3 linked regions of the Macaca mulatta genome follow. The protein of the gene in region 1 interacts with the protein of each later gene in a biochemical or structural test. Links are inferred from orthologs where the notes say so. Each region holds a gene or a part of one and is shown on either strand. Other genes may lie near its edges.

Region 1 (4,146 bases):
CCTGACCTGTACCAGCCCCTGGGGTGGGCTCCGTGGAGGGGCTCCTGGAGCCCGGGCAGGTGGCGTGGCACTCCCGGAGCGCGCCATGGCAGCGGTACAGCGGCAGTGAGTGGCAGGCGTCCGGCCGGGGTGGCCTGAACTCTCTGGCTGACCCAGGCTGCCACCCCACTTATCTACCTCCCTCTGCGGCCCCGGCTCCCCGGGGATGGGTGGAGACGCAGGGGCTGAGTCACTCTGGGGAGCAGGGTGATGACTGAGCCCACTCCCCTTAGAAGGCTCCAGCCCGGCGCCCCCCACCCAACTAGGTTTCCGTCCCAAGAAAGGAAGGAAGGAAGCTGCTGGAAGGCCCTGCCCGCCCCAGGACCCAGGGCTGGGGGGACAGGGAGGAGTCCCAGCCCCAGAACACAGGACTGTCATGCTGAGGTTCCAGAGGAACAAGAGCCATAGGAGCCCGGAAGCCCCCACAGGCACCGCGCCCTAACCACACAGCCGCCTCCCGCAGATCTGTCACCCCTCACCTGCTCTTAGCCCCCAAGGCCCTCCAGACGGAGGTGGAGACTGGGCTAGGGGCAGGGGGCAGAGGGCTCAGGGTCTGAGCCTCTAGGGCCTGGCACCGCTGGCCACCCGTCTCTGTTTGGGGGCCGTCCCCTGTCATCACTACTAGGATCAGCTGCACCGCAGCTGCGGCCACCCCCAGCCTGCTGTGGCCCAGGGCTGAGTCATCACTAACTAGGCGTTCATGACCCCCAAAAGGAGTGGCTGACCACATCAGTGTCCTCCCCTGCCCACCTCCCCTATCCCCAGCCAGGACAGAGGACACTGAGAACCACCCTTAGCTCCCAGGGGGCACCCAGAGTTGGGCCCTCTCCATCCTGCACCAAAGCCAAGCTACATACCCTCCCAGGGCTCTGCCTCTCTGCCACCACCGCCCCCATTGGAGCCATCCCCGCAAGGTAAGCTTTGCCCTCCTGGGCTCCCTGAGCATCTCAGGCACACCCTGAACCCAGGCTGAGCAGGGCAGGATCTGAACCTGCTCTGCGGAGGTCCAGTGAGCCCCAATTCTTCCTGTCCACGCTGGGAGCTCAGGTGAACAAACCTCAGGGCTCGAGCCAGGCGCGGTGGCTCACGCTTGTCACCCCAGCACTTTGGGAGGCTGAGGCAGGCAGATCACTTGAGCCCAAGAGTTCCAGACCAGCCTGGCCAACACGGTGAAACCCCGTCTCTACTAAAAACACAAAAATTAGCCAGGTATGGTGGTATACGCCTGTAATCCCAGCTACTCGGGAGGCTGAGGCAGGAGAATGGTGTGGACCCAGGAGGTGGAGCTTACAGTGAGCTGAGATCCGGCCACTGCACCCCAGTCTGGGCTACAGAGCGAGACTCTGTCTCAAAAAAAAAAAAAAAGAAAGAAAAGAAAAAGAAACCTCAGGTCTCGATGCCAGAAGACAGAAGGGGAGACCCTGCTCCTTGGGTGTCCCCTGACCTCCTGGAGCCCCTGTCCCCAGCCAGACTCATGCACAAAGGGACCTGCCACTCAGGCCACCCTTTGTTCCTCTAAAAATATACCCAGAGGAAGCTCCTCCTAGGGCTTCCTGCAGCCCCCAGAGCCTGAAATAGCAGACGGGGGAAGGTCCCACCCAAGGCAAGGTGCCTCGGCCACCGCACCCTCCAGATAAAGTCCGAGGGCCAGATTTTTCCACAGGAAGGTGAACCATGCATTTGTGTCCAAATCAATGGACAAACGCCTGAGGTAGAGGCGGAGCTTCCTCCTGGGGGAGGCAGGGTGCCTGGGAAAGAGGGAGGCCCCAACCCTCAACTTGGAGATAGGGGCCTGGGACCAGCCTGCTCCCCTGCAAGGCCAGCCCCCCAACCAGCCCTGGGCTGGGCACCTTGGCCCTGAGCACGACCATGGCCTGCCCTCAAGCCCCAGGAACAAAACAGGTCCCACAGGTCCCATGGCCAGGCCTGTGCCCCCTCCCCACAGGGAATGCCGTCTCCCTGCCAAGACATGCCCCCGCCGGGCTCAGCTCCCAGGCGCAGCCAGCTCCAGGAGTGATACTTGGGAAAGGGAGAAAGTGAATGTATAGATCCCCTGCACCCTCAGAAACTCGAGATCCCACACCCCTGCCTCAGGCACGGTTCTCACAGTGGGGTCTGGCCAACCCCTGGACTCAAATCCCCTGAAGGGATTTATTTATTTTTTTTTTTTTTTTTTTTTTGAGACGGAGTCTCGCTCTGTCGCCCAGGCTGGAGTGCAGTGGCCTGATCTCAGCTCACTGCAAGCTCCGCCTCCCGGGTTCACGCCATTCTCCTGCCTCAGCCTCCCGAGTAGCTGGGACCACAGGCGCCCGCCAGCTCGCCCGGCTAGTTTTTTGTATTTTTTTAGTAGAGACGGGGTTTCACTGTGTTAGCCAGGATGGTCTCGATCTCCTGACCTTGTGATCCACCCGTCTCGGCCTCCCAAAGTGCTGGGATTACAGGCTTGAGCCACCGCGCCCGGCAAAGGGATTTATTTCTTTTCTTTTCTTTTCTTTTCTTTTGAGACAGTCTCGCTCTGTCCCCTAGGCTGGAGTGCAGTGGCAGGATCTTGGCTCACTGAAACTGCTGCCTGCCGAGTTCAAGCAATTCTCCTGCCTCAGCCTCCCGAGTAGCTGGGACTACAGGCGCCCGCCACCAAGCCCAGCTGATTTTTGTAGTTTAAGTAGAGACGGGTTTCACCACATTAGTCAAGCTGGTCTCAAAACTCCTGACCTCAGGTGATCCGCCTGCCTCGACCTCCCAAAGTGCTGGGATTACAGGTGTGAGTCACCGTGCCCGGCCAGGGATGTCTTTGAAAATGAAAAACAAGGTAGGAGAGCATGGAGACAATGCCATCAGGGCCTCCAGGAAGACAGGACACACAGTTTCAGGCTGTTCCTCCTAGCCCTCAAGGCCTGCCAGGTGGCCCCTCCCAGCGGCCACCTAGCAGGAGGTGGAGCAGGCGGCCCCTGTACTTTTCTGGGTCTCCTGGCTGGGAGCAGGGGCAGGGGAAGGAAGAAGTGCTACCCAGCAGGAGCCCAGAAGGAACAGCAGACAGGGTCCCAGGGCCCTCCCTTATATTTAGGGGAGGAGTGGGCTCACCTTGGAGCCACCTGGACCCCCCAACTCCACTCCCATGCTCCCAGCCCCACCCATGCCAGGCCTGGCAGAGTGGCCTCCTAGGCTTCCCCAACCTGCAGAGGCGGCCAGCCCTCTCCCAGGCCTTCCCAGCACACAGGCTCCTTGGAGAGAGACAAGGACAGAGCCACGGATGACACCCAACACAGGCACGGAGCTGGGCACATGCAGACCTAGAATGTCTATTCCCAGGGCTCCTCAGCCATGAGGCTGGGGGCTGGGGAGGCGGCAGCTTGTCACAGTAACCCCTCGATAGGGCAAGGGGCTCTGGAGCGTCCTGGAGAACAGGAACAGGCTAGGCTGCCCTGACCCTACCCAGTTTAAAACACAGGCTGAGGGTAGAAAGAGTGGCCCCCAGTAGCCAACAGGATGGTCCCTGGGGCAGAAAAGGGGCCCCAAAAGGCAGAAGAGACCAAGACTTCTGGAGGTGATCAGAGGCAAAGATGGTCGTCGAAAGCCGAGAGAGCCTCTGGGAGAGGCGAGGGTGGTCCCTGCGGGCCAAGCCCGCCATACCTTCTTGCCAGCGTCGGAGCTGCGGCCACCCATGTGTGCCCAGTCTGGCTTTGGCTCCCAGGGGTCGTGGGCGGGCGGGAGCCCTCGCTGGGCCATCTCCTCAGTGCAGGTCAGCTGCCGCCGGCGGAGCTCCTCATCTGTCTCCTGGTCCACCACCAGCAACCGGGTCTGCCCCTCCACAGCCTTGATCCTCTGCACCACCTGGGGCGAATGGGTGACAGGAGCGGGTCAGTGGCCCGCATTCCGGGCAGCACATGGGCAATGGCACCACTCTGGGCTGGCCCGGGCATGCAGGCGGGCAGCTGGTCTGCATGGGCGGGTGGCCGCACCGAGAGGCCTGCCGGCCCCGCCCCCCACCCCCAGACTCCAGAGGCTCCCTCCCTCGGCACCCGGGCTCTGGACACTGAGGTCCAGGCTGTGAGGGCTTCAGGGTCCTCCCAGAGCCTTGCCCTTAGCCCAGGGTCTTCTCCAGGCAGG
Region 2 (4,673 bases), on another chromosome or scaffold:
TTCCCCCAAAGAGAATGAGTAACATTTCACCTTGAAAAGAAACAAGGAGGGAATGTTCTGAGGTACAGCTCTGTTCCTTGAGAGACAGGTACGGTTTCTAAGGTGTGTCTAAAATGCAGCTCAATCCTATTCTACGAGAGAGAAGTTCCCGTTTGAACAACAGGATTCGAGGGGGTCTCACCATCGTAGCCACGCACTAAGAAGTGACTGGTTTGGGGACACGGAGGTAGGACCCCCACTCAGCCAGGTGACTCTGGGACTATGGAAGGTCCACTTCCACAGTCTCTGTACCTGCCCCAGCACGGGCTCAGGGGGTTGAGCCTGCACACATTGCTTGGAAAACCCTCTCTGCAAACGGGTAAGCACATTGCCCGCGTGGACAGTGGCTGGAGGCTTGTCACCTGCTTCAGGGACTTCCTCGGGAGCTTCTCGCCTGCCTCTTTGCCTGGAATTAACGAATACACAATATAGCCCCACATTCCCTCCAACACGAAGGAAAGGTGTAATCAGATCCCAAGGGTCCCGCAGAAGCGTCGAGCCTCGCGGTGCTGTCTCCCTTTTCTTTCCCAAGCAAACCCACTTAGCACCGGCGCGCCCCTGTCTGCCCGGGCAGAATCCACTGCCCACTCCTCCCGAGTGGAGACTGGAGACGAATCCACGCTCGGGCCCTGCACCTGCCGCGTAGTGGAGTTTGGAGGGGGCGTGGATGGTGCAAGGTCAGGGCTTCGTGTATCACCCCGGCGGCGACAGGGCTGCTCCGGGTCAGACCACGCGGCGCGTCGGGCTTCCCTGCAACCTGGCAGGGTAGGGGGCACACGCACACGGTGGGGCATCCGGCGGAGCCCGGGCCGGCCACTCACCATCCTGGGAGGCCAGCAGCGGCGACACCAGCAGCAGCAGCAGCGCCGAGAGCGCCAGCGCGCAGCGCATCGTGTCCTCGCCTCTGGGCCGGGAGCAGGTGGCTGCGGGGCCGGCGGAGGGTCCGCGCGTCCGGACGGTAGGAGAGTGGGCGCCGCTCGGGGAGGCCTGTGGGTGGCTCCGGCGACCGGGCTGTGGCCCGGGGCTCCCGGGTCGCGCTGCGCCGGCTCTTCCTCCCTGCTGCTGCCGCAGAGCGGGGCTGGGGCGCAGAGCCAGCAGCGGAGGAGCGGCGGCGGCGGCTGCGTCCTGGGCGGCGTCTGCGCGGCTGCGGCCCCACTGGCGGCTGCGGCTACTCCTGGCCCGTCCCGTCCGCGCCGGCCCCCGCCCCCGCCCCCGCCCCTCCCCCTCCCCCTCCCCCTCCCCCATGAGCCCGCCCACGGCGGCGGCGGCCGGGCAGGGCGGGGCCGGGGCTGGGCGGGCGCTGGGCCGTGAACAATGAGCAGAGGAGGAAACTCCGCCCTGAAGCGCGGCGGGCGGGAGGGCGGGCAGCCTCCGCGCCTTGGGGGGCTTTGAATGTGTGCGCGCGGGCCGGGGCCGGGGGCTTCTGCGGGGCAGCTGGGCCCCGCCCACAGGTGTCCCCCCGAGTGCTTCTGAGTGGGCCTGGCGGGAACCCCCAGCACACAGCAGGGGCCCTCGCACTACGAGCAAATCCGGAGCGGGCGGACCTCCAGCCTTGCGTGGTAGCTGATAACCATTCGCGGCCTCCCGGGCTGCGGCGCGTTCTGCAGCGACCCCGGAGAAGCTCATCTCCTACCTGCCAAGTGCAATTCACCTGCCGGCGGGCCCCCATCCCGCACGACTTCTGAGCGGGTCCTTGCAGCTGGGTGTGCACCGGGCAAGCTGGACTAATTCACTGCTTCACCTCTCCAAGGCTAGGTTCCTTACCTGTGAAATGGAGATGATGGTTAAAAAAACAACAGCAACAATTTCAGGGATGAATGTGTGCCAGGCTTTACGTATATTAATTCGTTTGCTCTTCATGACAACCATATTTTTAGCCTCATTTTGCAGACAGGGAAATTGAGTCAAAAAGAGGTTAAGAAACTTCCTGAGGTCACATAACAGGTAAGTGACAAACCTGCCTCTGAAAGTAGTTTGGAGAAATACCGTGCCTGGAATATAGTAATTGCTCTGCAAGGAGTGGTTGTTACTTTTATTCCTGCTATATAAAGAACAGTTACAAAGATTTAGAACTTTTGGGTCAAAACAGACTTGGACTCAAAACCTAACTGTGCCAATCTGTTAATTGTAAAACCCTAGGCAAGTTATTCTCAGTACCTCATTTCTTTTCATCTGTAGAATAGGGATAATAACACCTACCTCAGGGGGTTACTGGGAGACTTAAATGTGATCCTACAAGATAATACTTAGCCTAGGGCCAGGAACACGAAAGTCTCAATGAATGAAGTAGCTCGCCCTCCACGTGAGGATCAGAGATATTTGCACATTGCGGATGGGAGTGAGTTTTGGAGAATTCCGTAAACTGAGTTTATCTGGCGTAAGAACAAAGAAGTTCGTCTCCCCTCCCCCGCTCCCCTCCTTTTTACCCCTGAAAGCTGCTTGGGAGACGCAGACCCCAGGACCGCCTGAGGAGGAGGCACATCAGCGCGGCCGCGAAGCGGAGGGGGCGAGGGGTGGTTAACCTTGGAACCGGGGTACGGCGTGAATTTGGCTCACGTGACTCCGGAGCTGCTAATCTGGAGTCTCTCTGCCAGATGGGGCTGGGTGGAGGGGTTTTCCCCAGGATCTAGCCGCGTCCCGGGGACAGGGTACTTCGTGAGCCCCTGAAGTCGGTTGTAAGCAGGCGATGCCTGCAGGGCAGTGCGTCCCTGGAGCCGCGAAGGAAGCTCTGGAGCCCTGGATGGGGTTCCGTGGCAGCCGGCCTCAAGCTTAGGGGAAGGGCTGACGGGGCTGTTTTCATCAGGAAGTTTCTGCAGGATCGTCTGGCCCCGTTTTCCACACCGCATATGGGAAAGACAGAGGGTGTTCCCGATATGTGTGTGTGTGTGTGACTATCTTTGATGTTTTTTTAGTACTGTTCCCCTGACATCATGTCAATAAAAGGCCTGTTTCTCTTCTGAAACCAAGCAATATATACATATTTTTTTTTAACTGGGATTTTTTTAAATGTGTATAGCACGCTGTCTGATTTAAACAGTGTTTTTGCACTCAATCATTCAATTTCTCTAAAAACTCAGAAGCAATCACGTTAACTTTATAAAGAGAGCGTATATTTTGAAGCTTAGGGCATTTTAAATGCACATGATTTGGGATTGGCGCCATTACAAGATCATGCAAAATTAAAATGAGAGCAGACATCTGGGCTTAGAGAAGACACAGAAAAGTGAGAATTGTGCTGAACTCTCCCCAGTATCCAACAGCCCCCCTCAACTTGTGTACAACGTGGCTTTCTGGAATGAAGCTGGCTGGGTTTTGAGGTCACTGGTGGCCAGTGAGATGAGCCACCCCAAGGTAATTGGCCTGTGCTTTTGGCCCCATTTAGCATTGTGCTCCAACTAGTGAGTTCGCCAGCCTAGAACACCTGAGCTTATATTTGAAACCCAAAGCACTTTATGGATGCTGTCTTTGAAGCTTTTCATCAGGAAGTTTGCAGGATCATTCCTTCTGAGGTTTGTTGCATTTTGGTTATTTTCCTGGGTTCAAGCGATACTCCTGCCTCAGCCTCCTGAGTAGCTAGAATTACAGGCATCCACCACCATACCCTGCTAATTTTGTATTTTTAGTAGAGATGGGGTTTCTCCATGTTGGTCAGGCTGGTCTGGAACTTCCGACCTCGGGTGATCTGCCCTCCTCGGTCTCCCAGAGTGCTGGGATTCCTGGCGAGAACCACTGTGTCTGGCCTTCACATTTTTATCAATCAAATGGTTTTGCTGCCCCATGGGCGCAGAAGCCAATACTATGGAACACTAGCTTTTGAGAAAGTAGTGGCTTTGTTTGCAAAACTGGTCAGCAAAGAGACAGGAGTGAATTCAAATCTGTCTCCCCAGCCAGGCATGGTGACTCATGCCTTTAATCCCAGAACTTTGGGAGGCCGAAGTGGGCAGATCACCTGAGGTCAGGAGTTTGAGACCAGCCCAGCCAACATGGTGAAACCCCATCTCTACTAAAAATACAAAAAATAGCCAGGCTTGGTGGCATGCGTCTGTAATCCCAGCTACTTAGGAGGCTGAGGCTGGAGAATTGCTTGAACCTGGGAGGTGGAGGGTGCAGTGAGCTGAGATTGCACCACTGCACTGCAGCCTGGGCAACAGAGCAAGACTGCATCTCAAAAATAAAAGAAAAAATGTCTCCCCGATTTGGGACCTGGGGTAAATTTATGGGATCCGAAGGCAAGGGAAAAGATTTAGGAATGTTGACCTGACAGAATCTGATTGGAGGGCTTTAAATTTGACTGTTTGGCCAGACGCGGTGGCTCACGCCTGTAATCCCAGCACTTTGGGAGGCCGAGGCGGGTGGATCACGAGGTCAGGAGATCAAGACCATCCTGGTGAACACGGTGAAACCCCGTCTCTACTAAAAATACAAAAAAAATTAGCCAGGCATGGTGTCAGGCACCTGTAGTCCCAGCTACTCAGGAGGCTGAGGCAGGAGAATGGCGTGAACCCGGGAGGCGGAGCTTGCAGTAAGCCGAGATCGCGCCACTGCACTCCAGCCTGGGCGACAGAGCAAGACTCCATCTCTAAATAAATAAATAAATAAATAAATGTGACCATATACAGAAAGGTATGTTGAGG
Region 3 (4,745 bases), on another chromosome or scaffold:
CTACAAGAGGCCACCATGGTGGGAGTGGAGAAAACAAAAGTAAGAGCAAGGTCGGATGAGGTTGGAGAGTTGTGCAGGGGGAGATCATGCAAAGACTTTGGAAGCCTGTTTTCCTCCATATAATCATCAGCCCCACAAAGAGGACTAGTGTGAAAAGATCATTCTGATTAATGAGTGGTAAAGAGATAGGGAGGGCTGCGAGAGGAAGCAAGAAATGCAGCAAAAGGTAAGAATTAAGATAAAGAAATGATGGCTTTGGGATGTATTTTGGAGGCATACTCAATAGGGCTTAAGGATGGAATGGCTGCGGGTGGGGAGAAGGTCTGCAAGAGGAAGCGTCAGAGATAGTTCCCAGGTCTCTGATGTGAGTAAAGGGGAATATTCTTTACTGAAATGGGGAAGACTAGAGATGGAGCACATTTGGGAGGAAAGATCAAGAGGTCTTAATCTCAGTATGTGTTGTGTTTGAGATGCCTACGAGGCATCCAAGCAAAGATGTGGAGTAGGCAGTTAAATACGTGGACCTAGAGGGCTGGGGTTAGAAATCTGAATGTTGCTGGGAGCCATGGACTCTTATTTAGGGTAAGAGGGTAGCAAGAGAGGAGAAGGAAATTCAGAACAGAATCTTAGGAAATGCCAAAGAAAGAGTTAGAGGAGAAATTGGCAAAAAGGATGAGGTGAAAAAAAAGTGTGTTAAAACATTTTTTTAGCATTTTAAGAAAAGAAGATTTTAGCCTGGCATGATGGCTGAGGCCTGTAATTCCGGCTACTCAGGAGATTAAAGCAGGAGAATCACTTCAGGCCATGAGTTTGAGACCAGCCTGGGCAACACAGCAATACTCATCTCTAAAATGAATTAATTAGTTAAATAATTTTTTAAATAAGAAGAGGAGTTCATGAAAGAGTAGTCAGCAGGGCCAAATGCTTTTAAGTAAGATGAGAGTTGGAAGTATTCATTGTGTTTAGCAACATAGGGTGTATTGCTCTTAGGAAGGGCTGTAGTGGGGGCAGAAATTGGAATGCAAATATGGCCTGTGGCTGGGAGTTGGGTGAGTGTTCCTAATGAGGGCCTTTATCCTACCAGGAGTTAACCTATACACCACACTTTTGTAGCCCATGACAGATTGCATGGAGTCATCCAGACAAAGAACACCACCACTAAGCTCTCATCGAAACAGGTTGGTAAAATGTCAAGGAGATAACCCTTGAGAAGATTCTTTTTTTTTTTTTTTTTTTAAGTCCACGTGTGCATCACTGTGCAAATCTCTGCAAACCAATGAAATTACATACACACAAGTGCAATGGGTGGTTTAATCTCACAAGGAACTTGAGGAAGCAATTTTCATCATCACTGCTGATCAAAGTCTCAAAGGTCAAGACCACATTGCAGTCTTTTCATTGTTGTAAAAGTTAATGAAAGTTAATTATTAAAGCTGACAGAAAGGTAACTTGTCCTCTGTCTTACATAACCTATATATAGACATCCCTATGCATATGGATGCACGCAGAGCCTGTAGACCTGAGTGGATGGACACTGCCTCTTAGAACTAGAACTTTATCTTGAAAATATATCACTGTTGCTGAAGCTCCTCACTGAGTAGGTGTCAGGTAGGAACCAAATTTATGATTGTTATATTCAAACTGGTTTTCTGTTCCTTGAGAATGGTATTTTTTCTGATCAAGCCTATTTAGGAGTTATTATGTTCTTGAGTTTATTCCATGTGTGTGAATATTTTGAATGAATCCACTAATAAGCTATGCATGTATGTCTGGAGTGCTAGCAATGTGGAATAAATATTTAAGTAGACTTTAATTTAACAAGTAAATGGTTGTAAGCATCATTAAGTTTTAAACAGTCTTTTCAAAGATATTAGTGTTCTTGTTTTAATTATTCAGATAATTCCTTTAATTCTCCACTCAAATCTGACTTTATAGATAGATTATCTGCTCTGAGGGTTGGGGGAAAAAAAAGCAAGCTTTAAGGAAATAGTTTCTCCAGGAGACAGAATCGCCTACTAGAAAGGATTCAGAAAGGCCATCTGGTCCCAGCCAGGCATAGGAGCATGTACCTATAGTCCTAGCTACTCAAGAGGCTAAGGCAGGAGAATAGCTTAGCCCAAGAGTTCGAGGTTAGCGTAGGCAACATGGCAACACCTTGTCTCTTAAAAAAAAAAAAAAAAAAGGGTGGGGGGACATCTGTTCTAGAAGTGAGAAATTTATCTAGATATCCTAGAAAGTCCAAGACTAAGGGAAACAGGGAGAGAAGAAAAGGCAACGAGAGTAAGGATAGAGAATGGAAAGAGAAGAGAGATGGGGAGACAATGGTTACTGGAAAGTAGCAGAGTGCCCTATGCCACAAGTAGTATAATATAATATAATATAATATAATATAATATAATATAATATACTTAGTAATATATGGGTACTTATCCCATACATTACTAACTCTACCAAGGTAAAATCTATTTTATTCTTTAAAATGTCAGGAAAAGATTATACAACTTTCTTTACATATGCAAGTGAGGAACAATTTATCAAATTATTGGACTAAATAATTCTCTTTTCTGAAGAAAGTCATTTGGAAAAATTGTGTCATGAAATTTTACTGCATAAACATCATTCCTTTTTTTCTTTTTCTGAGACGGATTCTCACTCTGTCACCCAGGCTGGAGTGCAGTGGCACAATCTCTGCTCACTGCAACCTCCGCCTCCCAGGTTCAAGTAATTCTCCTGCCTCAGCCTCCCAAGTAGCTGATACTACAGGCACACTCCACTGTGCCTGGCTGAATTTTTTTTTTTTTTTTTTTTTTTTTGTATTTTTAGTAGAGACAGGGTTTCGCCATGTTGGCCAGGCTGATCTCGAACTCCTGACCTCAGGTGATCCGCCCACCTCAGTCTCCCAAAGTGCTGGGATTACAGGCACGTGCCACCCCGTCTGACCAAGGATTATTCCTAATGAAAAATTAGGAAGCAACTAATTTGATTTCAGAAACAAGTAAAATGTGGTAACACAATACATACTTTGCCTTCTCCCTCTGGATAAGGGAATAAGTAAGTATATAAAGAAATGAACAAATGTTTAATACCTCCTAAACAGCTCATATTAGACTAAGAAACAAAATCGTTCAGAAAATGAGAATGAACATTTTTCAATTACAAGAATAAATATGTAATAACACATTCTAGCTCTTCTCTACAATAAAGGTCTTGATTCTCCAAGGAGAAACAAAGAGCCTCCTCTAGCCTCTGTGACACTTTGTTGAGAAGCAAGGGGGAGAATAAAGCAAGTCACCTCAAGGAGATTGGGCCCCAGGCCACCAGGCTCATGTTTTGTATTGTGGATATTGAGTAAAGGAGTGTGAGGCTTTCGTGCTCAAAAGCAAGGACCTTGAAGGTGCCTCACCTTGTTCTTTTGCCTTGTCTCTCTTGGGGATAGGGGCTATGCCCCCTGACATTCAATATGTAGCAGAGAAGAACATGTAGTGGAGACAGTCAGTTATTCACAAGATGTGGCTTCTCATCCTGGCTCTGGAAAGTTGAGAAAGTCATTTATCTTCTCTCATCTCAATTTCTTCAACTGTAAATTAGCGATAATACAGCCTATCTTCTCTGCCTCCATCACACAGTAACACTCAAGGAAGAAAAGTGAAAGTGCTCAGAAAATATCAACGCCTTATAGAAATGGCCAGGGATTCTCTTTTGCCTTCTGTGAGCCTCCTGGGTGTGAAACCCCTTGCTATGGTGCATCCCAGCATTTCTCTAATGGTTTAGCCTATGGGCCAACACAGCCTTCTGTTTCAGTGTTTGGAATTCTCACTATTCTTTGACATGATTTGCTTACTCCCCACTGCTTTGTCATCACCCTTGCCAAACCTATCTGTTCTTTAAAGTCTAACCCAAGACTCAGAGTTCCTTCACAAAACCTTTCCTAACTCCAACCCACATTTACATCCCTTCTTCCAATTTATTATCTGCACCAATTATTGTGGGCACGTCTCCTGTATATGTGAACTTTGGTGTTTAGGACTACATCATTTATATATCTTTTGCTAATAGTTCAGTTTATTTCAACAAACTTTCTTGTATACTTACTGTGTCATAGGACCTATGCAAAAGGGGAAAAAATGGTTAAGATTTGGGCCTTGCCCTTGAAAAACTCAGTCTTAAAGGGAAGAGAAACATAAACAAATAATGACCATACTGTATGACATGGAATAGACACATATACAAGGTACTTACAAGAACGAAATTATTAACTCTATCCAGGGATTCCATGAAGGCTTTACATCATTTTCTTATCTTCTACAACTGTGTTGGGAACTGAGTTCCTGACAAATAATAGGCTAATACATGTTTGTTGAAGGAATGAAGAAATGAATCAATGGTCAGCTGAGTTGTTTTGTTTTGTTTTTAGAGACAGGGTCTCTTTATATTGGCCAGGCTGGTCTTGAACTCCTGGCCTCAAGCAGTCTTCCCACCTCAGCCTCCCAACGTGCCAAGATTACAGGCATGAGCCACTGCACCCAGCTGTGCTGAGTATTTTTAAGAATGAATTGGAATCTACCAGGTATTAGAGAAGAAGAACACAAAGGACGTCATGTGTACAAAGACACGGAACTGTTAAATATTATAGTGTATTAGGAACCTGCTGCAATTGTTAAGGAGGAGTGAAGAAGCTTGTGAGATAGACCAGAGCCAAAACATGAAGGGCCTTGTATGCCATTCTAGGAAGCTCAGATAGATAG

What was found. The genes of interacting proteins can lie anywhere in the genome.
Region 2: the proteins of NHERF2 (region 1) and PODXL form a complex in vitro, tested with the Homo sapiens proteins (3 studies listed by BioGRID and IntAct, with this or other methods). The link is inferred for Macaca mulatta from reciprocal best matches to the Homo sapiens genes NHERF2 and PODXL.
Region 3: the proteins of NHERF2 (region 1) and SLC26A3 form a complex in vitro, tested with the Homo sapiens proteins (2 studies listed by BioGRID and IntAct, with this or other methods). The link is inferred for Macaca mulatta from reciprocal best matches to the Homo sapiens genes NHERF2 and SLC26A3.

What each region holds. Positions count from the first base shown.
Region 1 is NC_133425.1:3,257,174-3,261,319, reverse strand, and holds part of NHERF2 (Na(+)/H(+) exchange regulatory cofactor NHE-RF2), read right to left. Parts: intron 3,871-4,146; coding exon 3,670-3,870; intron 146-3,669; exon of another isoform or gene 88-145; coding exon of another isoform or gene 7-87; intron 1-6.
Region 2 is NC_133408.1:171,258,202-171,262,874, forward strand, and holds the start of PODXL (podocalyxin), read right to left. Parts: upstream 3,272-4,673; 5' UTR 1,666-3,271; coding exon 861-1,665; intron 1-860. UniProt on the Homo sapiens protein: Involved in the regulation of both adhesion and cell morphology and cancer progression. Functions as an anti-adhesive molecule that maintains an open filtration pathway between neighboring foot processes in the podocyte by charge repulsion.
Region 3 is NC_133408.1:147,411,500-147,416,244, reverse strand, and holds the start of SLC26A3 (chloride anion exchanger), read left to right. Parts: upstream 1-1,474; 5' UTR 1,475-1,608; intron 1,609-4,745. UniProt on the Homo sapiens protein: Mediates chloride-bicarbonate exchange with a chloride bicarbonate stoichiometry of 2:1 in the intestinal epithelia. Plays a role in the chloride and bicarbonate homeostasis during sperm epididymal maturation and capacitation.